Mus musculus: one gene and its partners. The protein of the gene in region 2 interacts with the protein of the main gene of each other region in a pairwise test. Links are inferred from orthologs where the notes say so. Each region holds a gene or a part of one and is shown on either strand. Other genes may lie near its edges. The genes, in order: Frk, Bnip2, Bcl2 and Klc1.

Region 1 (4,388 bases), on a different chromosome or scaffold from region 2:
CTCACTTTGTAGACCAAGCTGGCCTCAAACTCAGAAATCCACCTGCCTCTGCCTCCCAAGCGCTGGGATTAAAGGAGTGCAACACCATGTCCGGCTTCATGACCTCATTTTAAAGAAAAATCTGATGAAATAATGAAATTTTCTCTTTGGTTTAACCAGATTGTATGATATTTCTCTGTCTCTCTCTGTCTCTGTCTGTCTGTCTGTCTATCTGTCGTCTCTGTCTCTGTGTATGTGTCTGTGTGTTTATGTGTGTGTAAGTTAGAGGTCAATATTGAGTGCTTTCCTCCATAACTGCTTGTTTATGATCTGAGCCAGAGTAACTGGGTCTGGAGCTCACTGATTGATGAGACTGACTAGCCAAGAAGCTCAGGGGTCTTCCTGTCTCTGCCACCACAGCCCTGGGATTACAAGCATGTACCACCATGAGAAGATTTTTTTTTTTTTTTTAATAACAGTACTGAGGGTCTAAAATTCAGGTTTTCATTCACTAAGCCATCTCCCTATTCTGGAAATGCTTTAAAGAAAGGCTGACGCCCCTAACTGCTAGTTTCCATGAAGAGGTGAATCGATGGTGTGTGATTCTGAAAACACAGAGACTAGCACAGGCTTTAGGATAATGGGATGCTTTTGTTATATTCTTTGTAGATTAGTGTCATCGCATATATGATTGATTTATCAGATGTCTCAGAATTGACTTTGCTAGTTCAGTATTTTCCAAAATAATCTCCCATTTTCTCTCCTTTTTTTCAGATGATGGTGGGTCAAAAATCCATTTGATTCAACAGGTAGACATGGCGGCACAGGTGGCTTCTGGAATGGCCTATCTTGAGTCGCAGAACTATATTCACAGAGATCTGGCTGCAAGAAATGTCCTTGTTGGTGAACATAATATCTACAAAGTAGCAGATTTTGGACTTGCAAGAGTTTTTAAGGTAGATTTAGTTTTGTTTTAATCAGTTCTTATAGTAGGTTAAACAGCAAAAAAGTTAATATAGCGATAAGTTCAAAATTAATTTTTAAAACTATTTTGCTGCTAGGTGTGGTACTAAAGACTTAGGATCCCAACACACAAGAGGGTGAGACAAGAGGATTTCAGGTTTGAGATCAGCTTGAACCTCAATGAGATCCTTGTCTCCAAATAATAATTGCAACAAGAGTAACAAAGCCACACACAAACAAGAAACAAATAAAACTTTCATGTTGTCTATCTATGGTCCATTGATAAAGACAAGTTGTATAAGATCATATAGACAGAGTGCTTTTCTATTTCTATGGAGAGGGGCAACCAAGGGAAAAATGGTGATCATGCAGATAAATAAATATGTGATTAAAATTGTAGTTGAGTTTGTGGCGTACTTGTCAGATGCTACCAGCACCACCCATCTGCTTTTTCACATTCCTTCTCCAGAAAGCAATAGACTGTATCTAACTTTGCTCACTTGACAATAGGCTAAGGCCATACTACAGTGATTCTCCAACAATCATCAGCTTTCTGTGTGCTTGTGTGATTGTGTGGACATGGCAGTGTTTTATATATGCATGTGCGTGTGTCCTTTTGTCTGTGTGAGTACATGTATAGGCCAGAAGTTGATATTGAAATGTCTTCTTCAATCTTTTCTACACCTTGATAAAATGGTTTTAATAATTCTTTGAGGATTTCATACAATGCATATTGATCATATTCAATCCCTCCCCCTAACTTCTCTCAGACATAGCTCCCACCTCTCTACCCACACAACTCCCTCTTCCCCCTCAACTGCACTTGTTAGAGGACAAATTTCTCACGGAACCTGTAGTCTTCATTTTGGCTAGATTGGCTGGTCAGCATGTCTCTAGGATCCACCTGTATCTTCATCCTCAGCCCTGTGTTGCACACGTGTACTGTATCACCTGGTTTTTACCTGGATGCTGGTGACCTGAACTCACGTGCTCATACTGCTTAGAAAGCACGGTGTCCACTGAGCCATCTCTCCAAAAATAAACCACTGGCTTTTCATTTACCTATACTCACCCTGTTTTGTAACATCAATCCAAAGAGACTAATAATTAGACCTCAGATGAGGTGTTTAAATCTGAACTTAAAGTGAGATTTCCATACCATTCACTAAAAGTATGAATGTAGAGCAAAACAGACACAGACTCTCTTTCCATATCACCTTTCCTATTTTTTTAGAAATTAATTAAAATTAAAAAGTCACTATGTTGATAAACTAATTTAAATTATTGAGATAGCACTTTTTTGGTATTATCAAGTGCTTTAGATGATAATCAATGCCAGCTTTTCTAAGAAAGGTTTTATTTATTTTTATTTCATGTATATGTGTTTTTTCCCTGCATTTATGTCTGAGCATTTATGTCACTGCAAAAGCCAGAAGGTACCAAATACTCTGGAGCTGAAGTTATAGATGGTTGTGTGCTACCATTTGGGTGTTGGGAACCAAACCTGTGTTCTTGTCAAGAGCAGTAAATCATCTTAATTACTGAACTGTCTCTCTAGCCTTAATATCAGTCCATAGCTCTTCATGACTAAGAGCAAATAAAACCAGACATCCTTTGTTTCTCCTCCTCTTTCATCTTCTTCTTCAGTTTGTAGAGGACTTACACAAGTACAAATGATCACAGATTCTCCTTCCTGCAATGGCATGATGCTCCTCAGGCTCTCAAGACACATCGTGCTAATGATCTTTCACTGATTTTTCTAGTCTTATATGTTTGGTTCAGAATATCTTATATTATAATGCAAATCAACCTAAGCCCATATTGAATATTTGCTTCTACATTTTCGCGTGACACAGGTTACAAATAAACAAGGGCAGCACAACAAATTACTAACTTGGCTTGAATCCTTGATGCATTAACAGGTAGATAATGAAGACATCTATGAATCTAAACACGAAATAAAGCTGCCAGTGAAGTGGACTGCACCCGAAGCCATTCGTACTAATAAATTCAGCATTAAGTCTGATGTGTGGTCTTTTGGAATCCTGCTCTATGAAATCATTACTTATGGCAAAATGCCTTACAGTGGTGAGTGATTAATTCAGAAGTGGGCCTTTCTGTTGCAGGTCACTTGCTTAGATGTGACTTTAACTGCTTTGCATAGATTTAGAGGGCAGAGTTATGAGGCTGACCATTCCATGTTCCTGGAGGAGCCTGATAGATAAAATTTGATGATGATAATTTGCATTAATGAAGTGGTTTATTACTTTCTTCTCCTTTACTCTTGAATTGCAGTCTTATAGACAAGACTTGCTGCTGGTTTTAGTTTAACGTTACAGCCTGGGAAATGGATGGTGGGTCTCATGATGGACTTCATCAAGGGAAAAAAATCCTTTATAACCCAGAGTTCAGTGTCAACTATAATTTGAAGACTCTGATTGTCCACTTTTTTTTTGTTCTATTCTGTATGTCTTAGGTATGACAGGTGCTCAAGTAATTCAAATGTTGAGTCAAAACTACAGACTTCCACAGCCATCTAACTGCCCACAGCAATTCTACAGCATCATGCTAGAGTGCTGGAATGTTGAGCCTAAGCAACGGCCAACATTTGAGACCCTGCATTGGAAACTTGAAGACTACTTTGAAACAGACTGTTCCTATTCAGATACAAATAACTTCATAAACTAAACATCAAGGAAAAGAAGAAATATAATGAAGATATGAAAACGTGGGGCTCATCAGTCCAGAAATACTATCTATTCAACCAACTGTGAAATCAGCTTATTTTGACATATTCAAGTGGTAGGATGAACTCAGCCATGCATTCCATATCAAAAAGATAATCTGTGTATTTTATTGACTAGGAAACACTGCAGGACAGTATAAGATAATGTGTCATTTTTCCTCACTGCCTGGTAAAATCAATCACACTAAATGAAGTTATTTTTTTTCCTTTTGAGAACTCCTCACATTTCTATTTATTGTTTGAATGCCCATCAAGAGAATCAACAGATGACAGTGTTTACTCAGTTACTGTTGTGGCATTTTCCTGTTTACTAATTAGACTGGTTATTCATTATTCCTCAAATTGCTGAATACCATCAGGCTGTTATTATGAAGGAATTTGATTGCTCTGCTGCACAGCAGGACCTGTGCTTTGAGATATTTTTTTTCCTCTCTTTTAAAATATCCTGTAACTACAATAATGGTAAAGCCATGTTAAATGACTTGATTGTACTTGAAGTAATTGCACATATTTTTCCTATGCATAAGAAAATGAAGCAGCTGTTGAGAAAAGGAATTAAAATCTTTCTCATTTTGTAGAAGGAAATGATGGAGTTTGCTCTATACCTCAGTATGTGTCATTGGAGAATCATCTGCATTAGTTTTAATCTCTTAATGTCAGGAATCAGGTTGCAAAGCCGATGAATTGTTATGTATGGGAA
Region 2 (5,324 bases):
AAATCAAACCAAACACGATGGATTCCTCCCTACACAACTTCTGAGGGGAGGTGTGAATCCAACCACACTAAAGAAGGGAAGCCACGAGCAATTTAGGAAGGTGAACAGAATTAAGTATTTTGACCTATGTCGGCTGTGACATGCTTCCATGGTAACTGTACTGTCATGTACTTTAAACACTGCTGCTGGAATAGGTGCAAGTAACTTCTGTGCTCGCTGAAAGCAAACAGAGGCAGAAAGTCTGCACTTGCACAAGAGGTTCTGCTTGATTTACTTTTATGTATTATGAGCAGGCTATACGCCCCTGAAGACTAAGCACACGGGAACCCCTGGACAAAGCCTTCATTCTTGCTTGTCATTGTCAAAGGTATGACTATACCCCTGTAAGAGTCTATCTTCTTAAAGCACACATGCGCATGCGCACACAGAGGGTGGGCAGGTTAGTGGTGTGTGCTTTGGCAGGAGAGTGGAAGTCAAATTACAATTTTCCGGCGTGGTTCTCTCTGTCCACTTTATTCCGAGGCAGGATCTCTCTTCTACTTTCTTCGATTGCTTCATGCTCCCAGTTTAGCTGGCCAGGAACTTCAAGAAGTTTCTCTTGTCCCCTCCTCCCATCTTGCCATAGGACTGCAGGGATTACAGCTGGCTTATGTGGGCTCTGGGAGTCAAACTCAGGGGTTCAGGCTTTCTAGACAAGTGCCCTTACAGACTGAGCTATCTCCCTTAGTATGATCATGTAGGGCTTTCAAGAACAAAATGCTTCCACAGCAACGTTCACACATGTGCACACACACAACCAGCAAACTAGAATGGTGCTAACTTCTCTCAGAACTGTTAAAAACATAGCATAGGCTAAACACCTAGAATACATTTATTAAACTATCAGTATGCAGAAGGTATTAGAGATGTGTTGGCACCTTTAAGTAGACCAAACTCTAACACCTGATCTCAAACAGTCTGCTTGTTAGAAGCTGGTTATAATGCCAAGTCAGGACTATCTGTGATATTGCTTGCTTGCTTGCTTGCTTCGTAGGATGTAATCTTAGCATAAGACCTTGAATACTGCCAGCCGAAGCCACTCTTGGTCTAGAAACATAGCCTTTTGTTCTCAGATGTCCCCTTCTCTCATCGCTACAGAGAGAACAATCAGGACCACTGCCCCAAAGAGTATTTCACCTTTACTTCTCTACCCATTAAAAACTAATGAGTAGTTAGAGCGTCAGTGCCCAACAGGTGTGAGTGTCGTGGTTTGTATATTCTTGGACCAGGGAGTGGCACCATTTGGAGGTGTGGCCTTGTTGGAATAGGTGTGTCACTGTGGGTGTGGTCTTAAGACCCTCACCCTAGTTGCCTGGGAAGTCTTCTACTAGCAGCCTTTGGAATGAAGATGTAGAACTCTCAGTTCTGCCTGTGCCATGTCTGCCTGGATACTGTCATGCTCCCACCTTGATGATAATGTACTGAACCTCTGGACCTGTAAGCCAGCCCCAATTAAAATGTTGTTTTTTTATAAGACTTGCCTTGGTCATGGTGTCTGTTCACAGCAGTAAACCCCAAACTAAGACAGTGAGGTCGAATGCAATGTCATTAGCCATTTAGCTTAGACAAGAGGCAAAAGACAGACCCTATGTCCTGATCCCCAGATCTATAACAAACCTGTCTGTAAAACCAAATGTGGTTATACTTAAGGGTGAAAGGTCCTGCGATGCCTAAAGATGTAAGTATGTTGGTTTATGGTAATTCAGTCCCTACGCTATGCACATGTCACATTTCCTAGTCCAGCAAGTTAGAAAAGACCTAAGAATGGCATTGAGAGATAGAGATTGATTAAGAACCAAGCCAAAAAAATAATGTGCGAGGCAACCAAACATTGGTAACTTCATGTATGGGTAACTAAACTAGATAACTTCAACTCTAACTTTGAAGGAACACCCACTCATGAATTACAGAGTTTCTACAAGTGAAGGCTAGAGGAGTGGGTCAGTAGTTAAGCATGCTTGCTGCTCTTCACAGGAGCCTATTTCGGTTCCCACCACAACAGCCTATAATGCTAGCAGCTCCAGGGGTTCCGATGCCCTCTGCAGTCGCCTATACCACATGACAAGACACATTAAAAAAAAAAAACCTTTGAGAAAAAAAACCCTCTACAATTAAAGGATTCTAATAAATCATAAGAAAACGTGCATTTCATTGAAGATGGGAATTCAAGTATAAGGGAAAACATCCTAATTAAAAGTGACGCAAAAGAAAGCAATACTAAGATGCAATTGCAGATGAAAGGCACTTTTATAGAAATACTTTGATAAACACTGCAAAAGTTGTGTCCTCATAGAGTTCCTAGGACAAAGGAAGTTTCGAAGTAACGTAATATAGATCCAAATAAGTTTCTGCTTGAACGTGAACAGACTTAGGAAGAATTCTCCAGTGGCATCGCATGCATACAGCAATCCAAAGCATCCTAGCCGGTATTTAAATGAAGAGGTTAAGTGTCTGAGAACAGCCAAGGATCAGGCATTGACGTACACACCCTACAATAGGATATCACACTCAGGAAGGTTCAAGAGAGCCCTGATGACTTATAGGATGCTGTCTGTGTATGCTGTCTGCGTCCATCCCCCCGAGGCTATGGGGTGCACTACACGCCCAAGTTTCTTTGTTCTGCTCTGGACTGACGCCGGTTAGGAACACGGAACAAACGAGGCTAGGGGAAGCCAGGAACCGGGAGGTTCCGCTCCAGGCTTTCGGGCCACAGACGGAAAAAGGAAGGGGGCGAGAGCCTGGCACCAGCGTCCGAGGCAGGGCGGGGCCCGGCAGCGCTCGGACCCGGAACGCGAACGCGCCAGTCCACGGCCGCCACCCCCGCCTGGCCTGGCCGATCCTCCCGCAGCCCTCCGGCTGTGCCGTAGCCCGGCCCGCTACCCAAGCCGTGCTCACCCCGGAGGAAGCCGCGGCCCCCTCGTCCTCTTTGCCCCTCCAGGCCGGCGACGTGGGGCTGACGGCCAGGTCGCAGAAAGCGGCGCCGGGCAGAGCCCGCTGCCCTTGGTCGGCTGTGGAGACGGGGCCCAGCTTTTCCCGGACGATCTTAGTTGCAGTCCGGGCGGCTGCAGCTGACCCGGATTCAGTGCGTACGCCCCGGCGGAAGTGACCACCTCCGGACCGGCGCCGGGCGCGGCCGAGGGAGGAAGCGGGGGCGGGGCGTTTTCCTAAAATCCTCGGCGGGCTTCCTCTCTGCGCATGCGCAGCCGTGAGCCCTTCTGTCCCGGGCCAGCTAAGGCTTTGGCTTGCTGCTGGCGAGGGAGGAGGAGGGCGCAGCTTTCTAAGGCTCACGCACTTAACGTTACTGTAGGGACCTAACCTCGCTGTCTTGAAAGAGCTATTCGTTTCTCTCTGTTTTCCTTTACTTGACATTATATTAACTATATTACAGAGTGAATGAAAAGGGGGTGAAAAATAGTCGATGTCTTATGTACGATAGCCAGGTCCTAGAAGAATCTACTTTGATAGAATTTTCCGACGTGAATAGTTTTTCTCTCCAGTAATGCTTCTGAGAGAGTAATAAGTACCCCACCCCTCTCCTCCCCAGACTCCTCTCCTGTGTTCCGAGTTGGCCTTGAATTCCTTCCAGTGTATCTGAAATAACCTTGAAAACTAATTTTCCTGCCCCAGTCTCCAGAGAGCTGAGATTATCTACATGATTGTTACCACATTGTGGTAGAGATAGAGACAACTTAGGGCTTCCTGACTGCTGCTAGGTAGGCACTCTATTATCTGAACTTTCCGTTCCCACCATGTGGTTGCTGGGATTTGAACTCCGGACCTTCCGAAGGTCCCGAGATCATAGGAAATTTCATTACGATTCACGACTGTAGCAATATTACTGTTCTGAAGTTGCAACGGAGTAATTTTGTGGTTGGGGGTCTCCACAACATGAGGAACTGTACTAAAGGGTCCCAGCTTTAGGAAAGTTTAGAACTATTGCTTTAAAACATGCTTTTCCCAGTTATTTGTGGGTCCTATCTTGATGACGTAGAAAAAATGAAAATAAAAGTGAAGTCAGTAAATGTAAAATATTTTATTATCACAGTCAACAGTCCTAAAATTGGCTGTCGTAAAAAAAAAAAATCCTCAAAAAGGGGGAGGAGGGGATAAGAGGTTTGTGGAGAGGAAACTGGGAAGGGGATAACATTTGAAATGTCAATAAATAAAATAACCAATAAAAAATTCTCAAAAGATCTCAACTTCTGTACTTTTCTGTGTGGGCCATTAACAATTTTTTTGAATGGCTTCCGTCTATGAGCTGTCCTTTTAAGCAGCTTCAAGGGGCTGTTATTTTGGAGGGCAAGGTCATCCCTCTTAGAAGTTGAACGTGCTCAACCTGTCCAGAGAGCTAGTAGGTAACTATTTGGGCAAGCCTATTACTCCTAAAAGGAATGGTGAAGTCAAAACTATTTTAAATGGATCCAAAACACAGTTCTTTAGAGATACAGTTTAGATTTGTTCTCTGTTGGCAGAGAGTTAAGAGCTCTGTGACTTACCTATAAAATGGAGAAAAAAATAATGCCCGCCTCATGGGGCTTTTGAGACAGAACAGTACATGTATCTGAGATGGGCGCTTGGAATGTTGCTATCATCTGTGTTAGTATTATTTCCCCTAGCAATTTTCTTAATTGCTGGAGGGGGAAACATGACAAACAGATCCACAAAGTTTTAGTTAAACCACTTGGCCACAGGAAGCATTTTCTCTCCAGTTACAGATTTTTCCGGAGTTCCAATTTGTATTTTAGTTCTGCAGTGTGCAGAGTTCCCCACACGGTGGCAGAAAATCGTTTGCAATCATGCCAGAGAGTGAGGTTTTTGTGGTCTTGAGTTTCCTCATTTTAGTAACAGAACATGACTTGATTCAATGTTTGGTTCTGAGTAAGATACTCTGCAACATTTTCCTTTCATGAACTATTTATCTTTACTGTTAAAACATTAGAAACTGTGGATAAACCAAAAAGACTATCATTATGAATGATCACTTTCAGATTTGAATTTATTTTTATTCATTGCATGTCTTTTTAAAAATTAGTGGATGTAGTTTAATCAAATGATTAAGTTTATAAATTTTTTTGTTTAAAAACCTTTAAATTTATTTTTAGAACCTCATGCAGGCACTCTGCCACTGAGTTACCCTTCCTGTTTTGTTTTGGAAATATATCAGAAATTCCTTTTCATATTTATAACTGAATTTCATCACATTCATTCATTCACTTCACAGTTTTAAAAGACAGGATCTTGTGCATCTCAGGCTAGCCTCCAACTTGCATGTGGCTGAACCTGGT
Region 3 (5,510 bases), on a different chromosome or scaffold from region 2:
AATATTTTGTCAACTTTGGTCAAATAAGATCAGATGTTCACATCAATCATCTATTTTTCTTGGCTTTTTCAGGGCCTATGAATATTAGCATATCTTGCAAACTGTAGTAAAAACAGAATGTGCTTCTAGATATTTGGTTCACGTTCAGTCAGTTACAGACTTTTTGTTCCTGTTAAGATATAATATATATGTATATGTATATGTGTATATATATATATACATATATATATATACACACACACACACACACACACACACACACACTCACATATATATTCGTTCTCTTTATACTACCAAGGCAGGACTAAAATGAAAACCCTTTTCATTAAAACAAGGTCTTTTAAAAAATGTCAGACAATAATGATTGCTTTCACATAACTTAATTGTTTTAGCTATAGCAAGTCTTAAGTCTGCTCTCTGCCCTTAAAGAACCAGAGAAAAGCTTAAATCACACGGTAAAATATGGAAGCTGAACCTCCCAAGATCCCAGAAAACTATCACCCCATAGATGCTCACCAGTGTTGTGGATACGAATCATTTTAACTTGTCAGGGCTGGAGACGCCACAGCTAAGTGGACTCCATTACCCCTTTCATAGGCACCCTAGATGCAAGTCCATTCAGCAGTAGAGATCGCAAAACTATGTAGAATGCAGGTAGAGAAAAGTAAGACATACAGTGGATGCAGACTTCTAAATCATCGCATATTCGTTGACGGACATGTTTAGGGTGCACACCCACCATGCCCACTGGGGACTATGGCATAGACAGACTGGATTCCACAAACATCCACGAATACCTACCTAAGCTTACCTTTTTTTTTTTTTTTTTTTTTTTTTTTTTACAAGCTTAGCTATGATTTCCAGGAAAAGGAGCCGTGTTGTTTTTCTTTGGGAAAATGTTCCCAAGTGAGTTAGAAAAGGTTTGCCTGCGTCCTCTGGTGGAGCCTGCATGTCTAGATGGACCTTTTAAAGTTTGTTAGTCCACCAGAGGAGCTAAAGATGCATAGGTCAAGAGGGAGTGTTGGAGGTCTGGTGCTTACACAGGACCCAGAACATCTGCAGCAAGCTACTCAGACGAACTAACTCTGAGAGTTACTGGAGGGATGCTATTATCTCCAGATCCTACTGGATCAAAAATGCTGGATTCTTGCTCCCTCACAGCCAGCGGGCAGGAGTTAACACAGTGTTGGCAGGGTGTGATGTACCCAGAGGAAGAGAGTGAGAGGTCAGGGGAGCAAAGCTACAAACTCGACTTTATTTCATCTGCTCAATGGCCCATTTTGACCCAGAATCCACTCACACCCCAACCTGCGCATCTTGGCCTTGAGATCAAAGCCCAGACTCATTCAACCAGACATGCACCTACCCAGCCTCCGTTATCCTGGATCCAGGTGTGCAGATGCCGGTTCAGGTACTCAGTCATCCACAGGGCGATGTTGTCCACCAGGGGTGACATCTCCCTGTTGACGCTCTCCACACACATGACCCCACCGAACTCAAAGAAGGCCACAATCCTCCCCCAGTTCACCCCATCCCTGAAGAGTTCCTCCACCACCGTGGCAAAGCGTCCCCTCGCGGTGAAGGGCGTCAGGTGCAGCTGACTGGACATCTCTGCGAAGTCACGACGGTAGCGACGAGAGAAGTCATCCCCAGCCCGGCGGAGGGTCAGATGGACCACAGGTGGCACAGGGCTGAGCGCAGGCCCAGCGGTGGCAACGAGGGGCCTGAGAGGAGACGTCCTGGCAGCCATGTCCCGGTGCACAGCGGGCATTGGGTTGCTCTCAGGCTGGAAGGAGAAGATGCCAGGGGTGGGGGCAGCCCCCAGGGGCGCCGCGTCCGCATCTCCAGCATCCCACTCGTAGCCCCTCTGTGACAGCTTATAATGTATGTACTTCATCACGATCTCCCGGTTATCATACCCTGTTCTCCCGGCTTGCGCCATCCTTCCCCGAAAAGAAGCTGCAGGTACCAATGGCACTTCAAGTCCCGACTCCCGCCCCACGGCCCCGAAAGAAAAAAAAAAAAAAAAGAATAGTTATAATCCAGCTCTTTTATTGGATGTGCTTTGCATTCTTGGATGAAGGGGTGTCTTTAGTTACACCGAACACTTGATTCTGGTGTTTCCCCGTTGGCATGAGATGCAGGAAATTTTTATTCAAATTCCTTTCTGCTTTTTATTTCATGAGGTACATTATTTATTAAGCTTTGTTAATATCAGTCTACTTCCTCCGCAATGCTGAAAGGTGAAGAGGCGGGACGACCTAGGAAGTTAAAATCAGGTGTGTTTTCCTTTATATATTTAGGGTAAGAAAGGTATATCCGCTACAAGTTACACGTTTAAAAATGCATTAAACTGTCTGGAAATGAAATTTGCTTGAATGCACTTGAAGTAAAAAAATATTTCAAACGCGTCCATGGAAAGTTATATTAAACAAAATTCCTGTGCAAAGAACTTACTGTATTTTCTAAGGACGGCATGATCTTCTGTCAAGTTTACCCTTTTTTGGTAAAACCCAAACAAATACATAAGGCAACCACACCATCGATCTTCAGAAGTCTCCTTGTATAAGCTTCTTTACAACTTGCAATGAATCGGGAGTTGGGGTCTGGGGGCTAGGTGGAGGAAAAATCAGGAGGGTTTCCAGATTGGGTCCTCACACTCCGGCTTCACTGAGAATGTCAATCCGTAGGAATCCCAACCAGAGATCTCAAGAGCACCGCAGCGGGGCAAAAAGGCAGCGGCGGCGGCGGCAGATGAATTACAATTTTTCAGTCCAGCATTTGCAGAAGTCCTGTGATTCTCCCTTCTTCTCGGCAATTTACACTTGCACACACACGCTGGAGCGCAGGCATGGATCCGTATCCACCGGACCGCTTCAGACCTCCAGGGCAGAGAGACACGCCAAGGGGACGATGGAGGAGCTGGGGGACCGGGACCGGAATCCTCTTCTGATTAAACTCCGAAGGGCCAACGCGCTTTCCGAAACGGGAAAAAAAGCAGCTTGCTAAATGCAGGCACGGACGCGCTGGGGCCGCGGGTGCCCAAGGAGCAGCCCGCGCACTGTGTGTGGTGCGCTGCGGGAGAAGGAGGTGGTGGGGGAGGGTTTGCCCCCCCTCTTTTTCCTAAAAAGGATGACTGCTACGAAGTCCCCCCCTGGTCCCCTCTTCCGCTGCACCCCACCGGCGCACCCCGCCTCCGGGCTGCGCACCCTTTCTCCTCCTCCGCTGCGGGCGGCGCTGGCGGCCGCCTCCTCGTGCTTGCGCCGCGCAGCCCGTTCCACGGTGACGGCTGCGGCTGGGGAGGGCCTGGGCACCTCGGTGTTGGCGGCGGCGGCTCGGCGGGGACCCGGACGCGGGGCGGGAGGACGGGCCGGGGAGGAAGGGGGCGGGCGCGGGGCGGGGGGCCCGGCCTCTTACTTCATTCTCCGCCGGAGCGCCTGGTTTCCTGTACGTACGTCACCGTTCATTCAAAAAAAAGAAGAAAGAAAGCCCTCCTCTGAGCGCCCGCCCGCCGCCTCCTCCCGCCGCCCGCCAGCCGCCCGGGTTAAAGGCGCCGCGGCCGCCCCGGGGAGCGCGCGCCCGGCCGCGGCCGCTGGCCTGGGTGGCGGCCACCCGCGGGCTACGCTGGGCCCCGGACCGTGGGTGGCGCGGGCCTCCCGGGCGGCAGTGGCTCAGTGGGCGTGTGAGGGGCCTCCTCGGGCCTGCGGGGCTGGCTGCTGGCTGGACGTGCCTATAGCCAGGGCCAGGCTGTGGCGAGGCACCTGGATCTTTTCTAACAGGATGGGCACAATTGCATGGATCTTTTTCAACGTGTACAGTGTGCACGACCGCATGGACTTTTTCTATGTAGCATGTGCAGGTCACATGGACCCTTTCTAACCGCGTGCATGGAATGTGCACAATCCAATGGACCCTTTCTAACCACACATAAAGTGTGTACACAGTCGCTCTGTGTGTGTGTGTGTGTGTAGTGCAGTGTATCTACAATCATGTGGACCCTTTAAACAGTGTAGTGTATACAACCACATATAGTGTATAAAATCAAACAGACCCTCAGCTAACCATGTGAACCCCCAAACACTATGTTATCAGCTCTCAGCAGCCAGAGAGATTACCGAGACATATATTGACTCCTAAGTAGTGAGTAGTACCAATATGCTACCCTTGGGTGAAGAGAGGCAACTCCCAACACAGTCTCCAGGATATTAATTACAAATGAAAATACTTAGAATAACAACGTTAGCATGCTTGTTTCTAGGCCCTTTTGTCCAGACACCACAAGCTGTGTAACTTAGAACAGGTCTGAGTACTCCTCTGCTCTGAAGAGCATGATGTGATGTCCACAACCAGCAAGGGATGTGCCTCAGAGGCTGGTCTTTCCTCATCTCTTCTTAGTCAGACAGTGGCAGACTGATGGCAGTCGCTGATGCTCTTGGCTTGTTAAAGAATAGTCAAAGTGGTATGCGGAGTTACTTTGGAGGTGTCCAAGCAGATACCACATGAGCACCCAGGCGCTTTTAGCCTCTATCCAGGCATACCCAACTTGGTGACCAAGGCCAGACCTAACTCGCAGTGGGCCAGTGAAGAGAGGAGAAGAGAACAGCAGAAGTTTGAGTTTCAGGGACAGTTTTTCCTCTGCTCCTAACGCTCCCAGCACTGGGCTGGGGCTGGACCTCAGGGAGTGATACCTGCCACCTTTCAAGGCCATGACCCTAACACGGCATAGGTACGGTTTTGGATATCCTCAGCTCTGACCAGCATGCAACCTGAGACGGCTTCAGAAGATGCAGCCATACAGATAATGTGTCTATGTACCCACAGACACACAGTGCCACTGTCACTTGTATGAACCCAGACAGAAACAATCAAGCTGAGAGATAGATACATAAAACACCAAGAAAAACTGTGCTATGTGATAACTATGTTATCAGCTCTCAGCAGCCAGAGAGATTACTGAGACATATATTGACTCCTAAGTAGTGAGTAGTACCAATATGCTACCCTTGGGTGAAGAGTGGCAACTCCCAACAGTCTCCAGGATATTAATTACAAATTAAAATACTAATGAAAACTCGTGGTTGGTGAGATGGCTCAGCGGTTAAGAACACCGACTGTTCTTCCGAAGGTCCTGAGTTCAAGTGTCAGCAACCACATAGTGGCTCACAGCCATCTGTAATGGGATCTGATGCCCTCTTCTGGTGTGTCTGAAGACAGTGACAGTGTACTCACATACATTAAATTAATAAGTAAATAAGTAAGCTGTTCGTTCACAGGCTAGCAGGTTGCCACATCGGGCTTAAGAACAGAGCACATGTGCAGGGTGGACAAGTCCCACAGGCTTGCTGGATTACTGTGGGAACAGCACATTCAGTCACTATCTTTACCTCATTCCAAGTTTAAAAGGGTGTATTTTGTGTGTACATGGTGTGGGTTGGTGGAGTACATGCCATGGCATGGATTGTCATTGGACAGCACCGTGGAGCCATTCTCCCCTTCCACCTTTATTTATT
Region 4 (5,270 bases), on a different chromosome or scaffold from region 2:
AGATCAGCAAGCATTCTTAACCGTTAGCCCCTGAAAGGATAGATGTCTCTTTATTTCTCCATGGGAAGTCACACAACAGTCTAGGCAGGGGGATGTTGAACTGGGTGTGGCAGAGAAAACTAAAGGACAGGTGAGGGCAGCTAGGGACAGGGTAAAGTGACCTTAGTACAACTAGGTCCTGTGGCCTTTGTAGACCAAGCTAAGGAGTTTTATGCTCATGCTGAGAGTGATGTATGTCTGCAGCAGGGTTGATTAGCTTGGTCTTTCCTCCTCCCCAACACAGCAGGGGTGCTCCTGTCTCAAGATTTAATGGAGTGTTCTACGCTGGTTCCGTGGTCCTGTTCTTTCCTGTGTGTGTCAGCACAATTTTCTGACCTTGGAGTTTGGGTCATGTGCCACTCCCTCACCACTCTGCCTGCAATTTTACTGTTTTCAACAAGTCAGATTCTGTTTGAGCTTGTTTTTTCTCATTGGAATGGGAGCTGGCCAGCAGACACCATCTGCCACTTTATGTACCTGGGTCTTCCTGTGAGAACCTTGGGAACTTAGTGGATATCAGTTGAAGGGGCAAAAGAACGAGATGATAAAGCTTGAACAAAGCAATGGCAGGGACAGATGAAACAAAAAAGCCCTTTGCTTGCTGAAGAAGTGTGTGCATATACAGGACTCGGAGGGGCAGTGATTGACCCATGGGAAAGAAATGGGCTCCCGCTTAGCCTACTCTTTTCTTTCCAACACCACCTGGGCAGGGGCCGTCATATGCTTTGTTCAGATGTATGGCAGTGGCTGAAGAGCCGGCGACACCCAACATCCAAGCAGCAGTTTGTGTGCTGGGGCAAGTGAAGCCTGCAGTAAAGACTGAACCCACAGCCTCTCCTTAGGCCAACATGGGCTGCTGCGCTCCCCACGGGAGCTGCCCCTTTATTGGCCAGCCTTTGAATTTTCTAGGAGGTCAAAGTAACTGGATCTGCTTGTTAAGATCAAAAGCACCTGCCTCCCTGATGTTGGTAGGTATAAGTGCAGGGTGGAGGACCGCAGCAGGTTCTGGGCAATACCATCAGAAGAGGGAAGCGTTTCCCAAGGTGGGGAGGCTGTGGGCATTCGCAACCCCTCCCCGTTAGTAATACAACCGCGCCATTCTGGAAACGTCTAAAGGCACCTGGAGGGTTCCCAAGCCGGTGGCAGGCAAGCTCGGCCTTGCCACTGACTCAGCGTCCCCTCCAACCCGCTGCTGAGTCAGGCCTGCAGTTGGGGTGCCAGGCGGCTGTGCGAGGCTCAGGAGCAACCTGAGCTGGCAAGCCTGCCCTTTGGGCCAGGCTGGAGGTCGAGCGAGAGCTGCGGCCAGGAGCGAGCCGCAGAGGGTGGGTCCTGGCCGCCTGGCGATCTTCCCGTCCTCCACGGGTGGAGGCGCGGCGAGGGAAGCCTCCCGGTCTGAGGCCACCACACACAGATTAGAGAGGCTCCTGGAGAGCTCCGGGCTGCGGACCCCAGCCTCAGTTTCCCCTGAGCCCCGCCCGGCGGCGCGAGGGCGGGTGACGTCACGGCGCACAGCATTGTGGGGCGGGCGCGGCGCCGGCGACGCCATTTTCGGCGGCGGAGGGTGGCGCGAGGCTGCGGAGCGCGGGTCAGGGTGAGGATGCTGCGGGGCGGCTGCGGAGGCGCCGCTTGCTGCTGAGGCGGCTGGGCTCTGCGCGGCCTCGGCCTGTGACAGCGCGACGAGCGCGACTCTCCCGATCGGACGGTGAGTGCGCGGCCTGGTCCCCGCCCCGCCCCGGGCTCCGCGCGGCTGGTGCGCAGTGCTCCAGACGCGGCCGCGACCCCTTCCCGCCTGCATCCTCCGGGCTGAGGCTTCTGGACCTTTCCGTCCACCGCCGCATCTGCACCCGGCCCTTCCAGGCTGCGATTTTGCTCCTCCGCCCGAACCCAGTCCCCTCCCTGGCCTTTCCATCCCTGTCTGCACCCTGGGGTTCCCTCTCCTCTCCGCTCCGTCCGCGCCCCTCCGTGCTCCGGTCTCTTGTCACCTCTGCCTGCGCGCCAGTAGTCTGCGGTCCTTGTCCTCTCTCAGCCTGTGCACATCCAGCAGGGGTTTCTGTCCTTTCTCCGCCTGCGCCTTTCTAGGCTCGGGTCTCTTGTCACCTCTCTGCGCTCCTCCAATCTGCGGTCCTTGTCCCTGTCTACCTGCGCCCCTGCTTTGGGTCCCTTCCCTGTCACTGGCTGCGCCCCTCCTGGCTGGGGTCTTTGTCGTCATCTCTCTGCCTGTACATCCAGGCTGAGGCTCTTCTCCCTTCCCTTCCTGTTCTGGTTCGGGTCCTGTCCTATCTCTGCCTGTCCCTCTCTGAGTTGAGGTCCTTGTCCCTTCTTCGTCCGTGACCCTCTAGGTTTGGGGCTCAGCTCTCTCTGCCTGCACTCTAGACTTCTGTTCCTGCCCCTTCTCTTCCACTCCCCTCCTGTGTCCCTCAGGCTTCTGTCCCATCTGTGTTCAGGGCCCCGCCCTGACTCGGGCCTCGGGGCGGGGGCGGCCTTCCAATGGCAGCTGTGGGCTTAAGGGACCCAAAGCCTGTCTGCTGAGGTCCTGAAGAGGTGGTGGTGGTGGTAGTGTGTGTGTTGGGGGTCAGCCGACTGGCTTTGTCTCAGGCCTCCCCGCCCTTCTAGCCCCCACCTCTCCCCGGCACCGCCCTGGGTGGCGTGCTGTCATGCTGTGGTCCATGGCCAGTGGCCAGCCAGTCTCTTTCTTTCAGTGGCCGGGTGTGGAATCTCCCTGTGACCTGAATGTGCCCGGCCTGGAGTGCTTTTCCTTGTTACATGTGGAGCCCCCTTCCCGTAAAAAAAAATTAAGGTGTTAATAAAGTAATATTAATATGTGACCGAGTGGATGGCATTATAATGAAGTTTGCAGGCCGTTTCCAGCTGTGTTGTGTTGGAATTGCTACTACCTGCTACTGTTATGTTATTGGTGATCTGGTGTACTTGCAAAAATGATGTCTTTAAAAAGCATGAGAACAAGAAATTTATATACCATTTAAACTGCTATGTTTTTGATTCTTTGCATTACTTAAATTCCAAGGCTCTTTATACGGTATGACAAAGCCTTAGGTCAGAATTAGCCTGGAATGCTTTGTAATAGGACAGTGAAACCCCATTAGGAAACTCGATCAACCTTGAGTCTCCTAAGCATGCCATAGTTAGGGATCTTCTACATGGAGGCCTATAGGCCTCAGTTGTGGTAGGAAATTTGACTTACTGTTCTTTGCAGTAAGTATTTGTAAGAATGCAATGATTCTATTTAAAATTCCACAGTGTGCGGTATGTGGGAGGGCGGGCCCCTTCTAGATCATTAAAGAATGCAGCATGTTGCAAGTCCAGCCTGATGCTCTGGTGGAACCAAGAGGGGTGGGACCTGGTGGTGACCGCTCTGTAGCACCAGCATTGTGAGAGCGTGTGTGGTGAACACATAGCAGGAAGTGACAGTATATGCCTATAACCCGGACACACTTGGGAGCCACAACTGCATAGCAAAATCTCAAAACAAAAATCCAAAGCAAGAAAAGCATAGACTTGCATGGAATCTGGACAGGGATTTTTTTCCAAGTGCAGAGATTGAAGAGGTGAGGTCTACACAGCTTAGCTATTCTACAGCAAAGTCTCCAGGCTGAAGAGGGCACTCAGTGCTAGGGTAGTAGCCTACATTCAAAAGATCCTGCTTCCTCAGTGCAAGAACAAACAAACCAAACATTACCCACAACCTAAATGTTTACATTAAGAAAGATTAATCCGGGCTGGAGGGATGGCTCAGCGGTTAAGAGCACTGACAGTTCTTCCAGAGGTCATGAGTTCAAATCCTAGCAACCACATGGTGGCTCACAACCATCTGTAATAGGGTTCGATGCCCTCTTCTGGTTTGTCTGAAGACAGCCACAGTGTACTCATATACATAAAATAAGTAAATAATTCTTTTAAAAAAAGATGAATCCATTCTTGGGACTGGAGGGATGGCTTAGTTGTTAAGAGTAATTATTGTCCTTTTAGAGGGACCTGGGTTTGATTCTTAGCACCCAGAAACAGCTCATAATTGTCCCTAACTACAATTCCAGGTAATCTGAGACCCTCTTCTGACCTCTGTGGTGCCCATGAACACCATGCAGGTGTACATGTAAACACTAACTCTTAACAACCAAAAGAAAACATTTTTAAGCATTTTTTTCAGGTTGGGAAAAGTGAAAATCTCTAAAGATCCATAAACAATCCCTAGAAATGGTTGACTTAAAAGAACTAGAAAGAAAACCTGAAGTGACTTTTTTGAAGCCAGAAGTTCTTAATTGAGTGACTGTCAGAAAGCAGATTATGCAACAAGAAAGTGACTTGCATGCTGAGCAAGATAGTGTCAAGTTTTAGAGCACAGAGTGAAAATGTTGAAGGCTGGGCATGGTGGCACAGGCGATCTGGAGGGTAGGGCAGGATTGGGAGGCCAGCTTGTGCTACACAGAATCTCCCTCAAACGAAGTAAGAAACAAAAAGAATAAAGATGTTGGATTAGGACTGTGGAAGTGTGGGCTCGAGGGAGTGTTAAGTGCTGAGAATCCACTGTGCAACACTGTACTATTAGGGATCCTGGTATGGGTAGTTCCCAAAAGAACTCAGACCCCGTGTGAGTGGTGAGGAGGCTCTTGTTGCACAGTTCAGAGGCAAGTGCAGATTGGCTATGTGTGGTGCTGATGGGAGGCCTGTCCTAGTGAGGTGGGGAGGGGAGGATGGGAAATGCTCCTGTGGTGGTAGGCAGAGCTAAGGAGGTGCTCCTGCTCTGCAGTTGGAAGGAGAAGGCGGGAGGCAGGGAAGAAGAGCCGGTTTGGTGGTTAGAGCAGGAAGGTAAGGGCAGTGGTGCGGGTGGTGCTGTGCACGGGCAAGCTGGTTAGGAAGTATCCACCTTAGTCTTGTGAGTGTTAGGACAGTGGCTGGAGGTGCAGAAGTGGCTGAGTTGGTGGTCAGTGGGAACTACAATGCAGTAGTCTGGGAGAGGCAGGCGGCGAGGGTTGGGGGGCTCAGCATTGTGTCAGGGTGAGCCTGTGCACACCATGCCAGTGGACCATGAGTCAGCTACTGAAGTTCTCTGTAGTGTCCTGCTTGTCTCCCTGGCTGCTCTGACTCCACTACAGCGCAGCCTGGTGCACTGAGCTGAGATAACGGCGGAGGTTCTGCCCCATCCTGCTGACCTTTCTAGGTAGTGCCCCCTACAGACAGCGTTGCACTTATTATTATTATTAAACAGTTTATGT

Evidence for each region.
Region 1: the proteins of Bnip2 (region 2) and Frk interact in binary tests that used the Homo sapiens proteins (3 or more experiments, as listed by UniProt). The two-hybrid records come from large-scale screens. The link is inferred for Mus musculus from reciprocal best matches to the Homo sapiens genes BNIP2 and FRK.
Region 3: the proteins of Bnip2 (region 2) and Bcl2 interact in a two-hybrid assay, tested with the Homo sapiens proteins (3 studies listed by BioGRID and IntAct). The link is inferred for Mus musculus from reciprocal best matches to the Homo sapiens genes BNIP2 and BCL2.
Region 4: the proteins of Bnip2 (region 2) and Klc1 interact in binary tests that used the Homo sapiens proteins (3 or more experiments, as listed by UniProt). The two-hybrid records come from large-scale screens. The link is inferred for Mus musculus from reciprocal best matches to the Homo sapiens genes BNIP2 and KLC1.

The regions. Positions count from the first base shown.
Region 1 is NC_000076.6:34,604,942-34,609,329, forward strand, and holds part of Frk (tyrosine-protein kinase FRK), read left to right. Parts: intron 1-753; coding exon 754-935; intron 936-2,864; coding exon 2,865-3,030; intron 3,031-3,418; coding exon 3,419-3,630; 3' UTR 3,631-4,388. UniProt on the Homo sapiens protein: Non-receptor tyrosine-protein kinase that negatively regulates cell proliferation.
Region 2 is NC_000075.6:69,987,300-69,992,623, reverse strand, and holds the start of Bnip2 (BCL2/adenovirus E1B 19 kDa protein-interacting protein 2), read right to left. Parts: upstream 3,159-5,324; 5' UTR 2,935-3,158; intron 1-2,934.
Region 3 is NC_000067.6:106,710,939-106,716,448, forward strand, and holds the start of Bcl2 (apoptosis regulator Bcl-2), read right to left. Parts: upstream 3,353-5,510; 5' UTR 1,943-3,352; coding exon 1,367-1,942; coding exon of another isoform or gene 1,343-1,366; exon of another isoform or gene 1,227-1,342; intron 1-1,226. UniProt on the Homo sapiens protein: Suppresses apoptosis in a variety of cell systems including factor-dependent lymphohematopoietic and neural cells. Regulates cell death by controlling the mitochondrial membrane permeability. Appears to function in a feedback loop system with caspases.
Region 4 is NC_000078.6:111,757,302-111,762,571, forward strand, and holds the start of Klc1 (kinesin light chain 1), read left to right. Parts: upstream 1-1,547; 5' UTR 1,548-1,741; intron 1,742-5,270. UniProt on the Homo sapiens protein: Kinesin is a microtubule-associated force-producing protein that may play a role in organelle transport. The light chain may function in coupling of cargo to the heavy chain or in the modulation of its ATPase activity.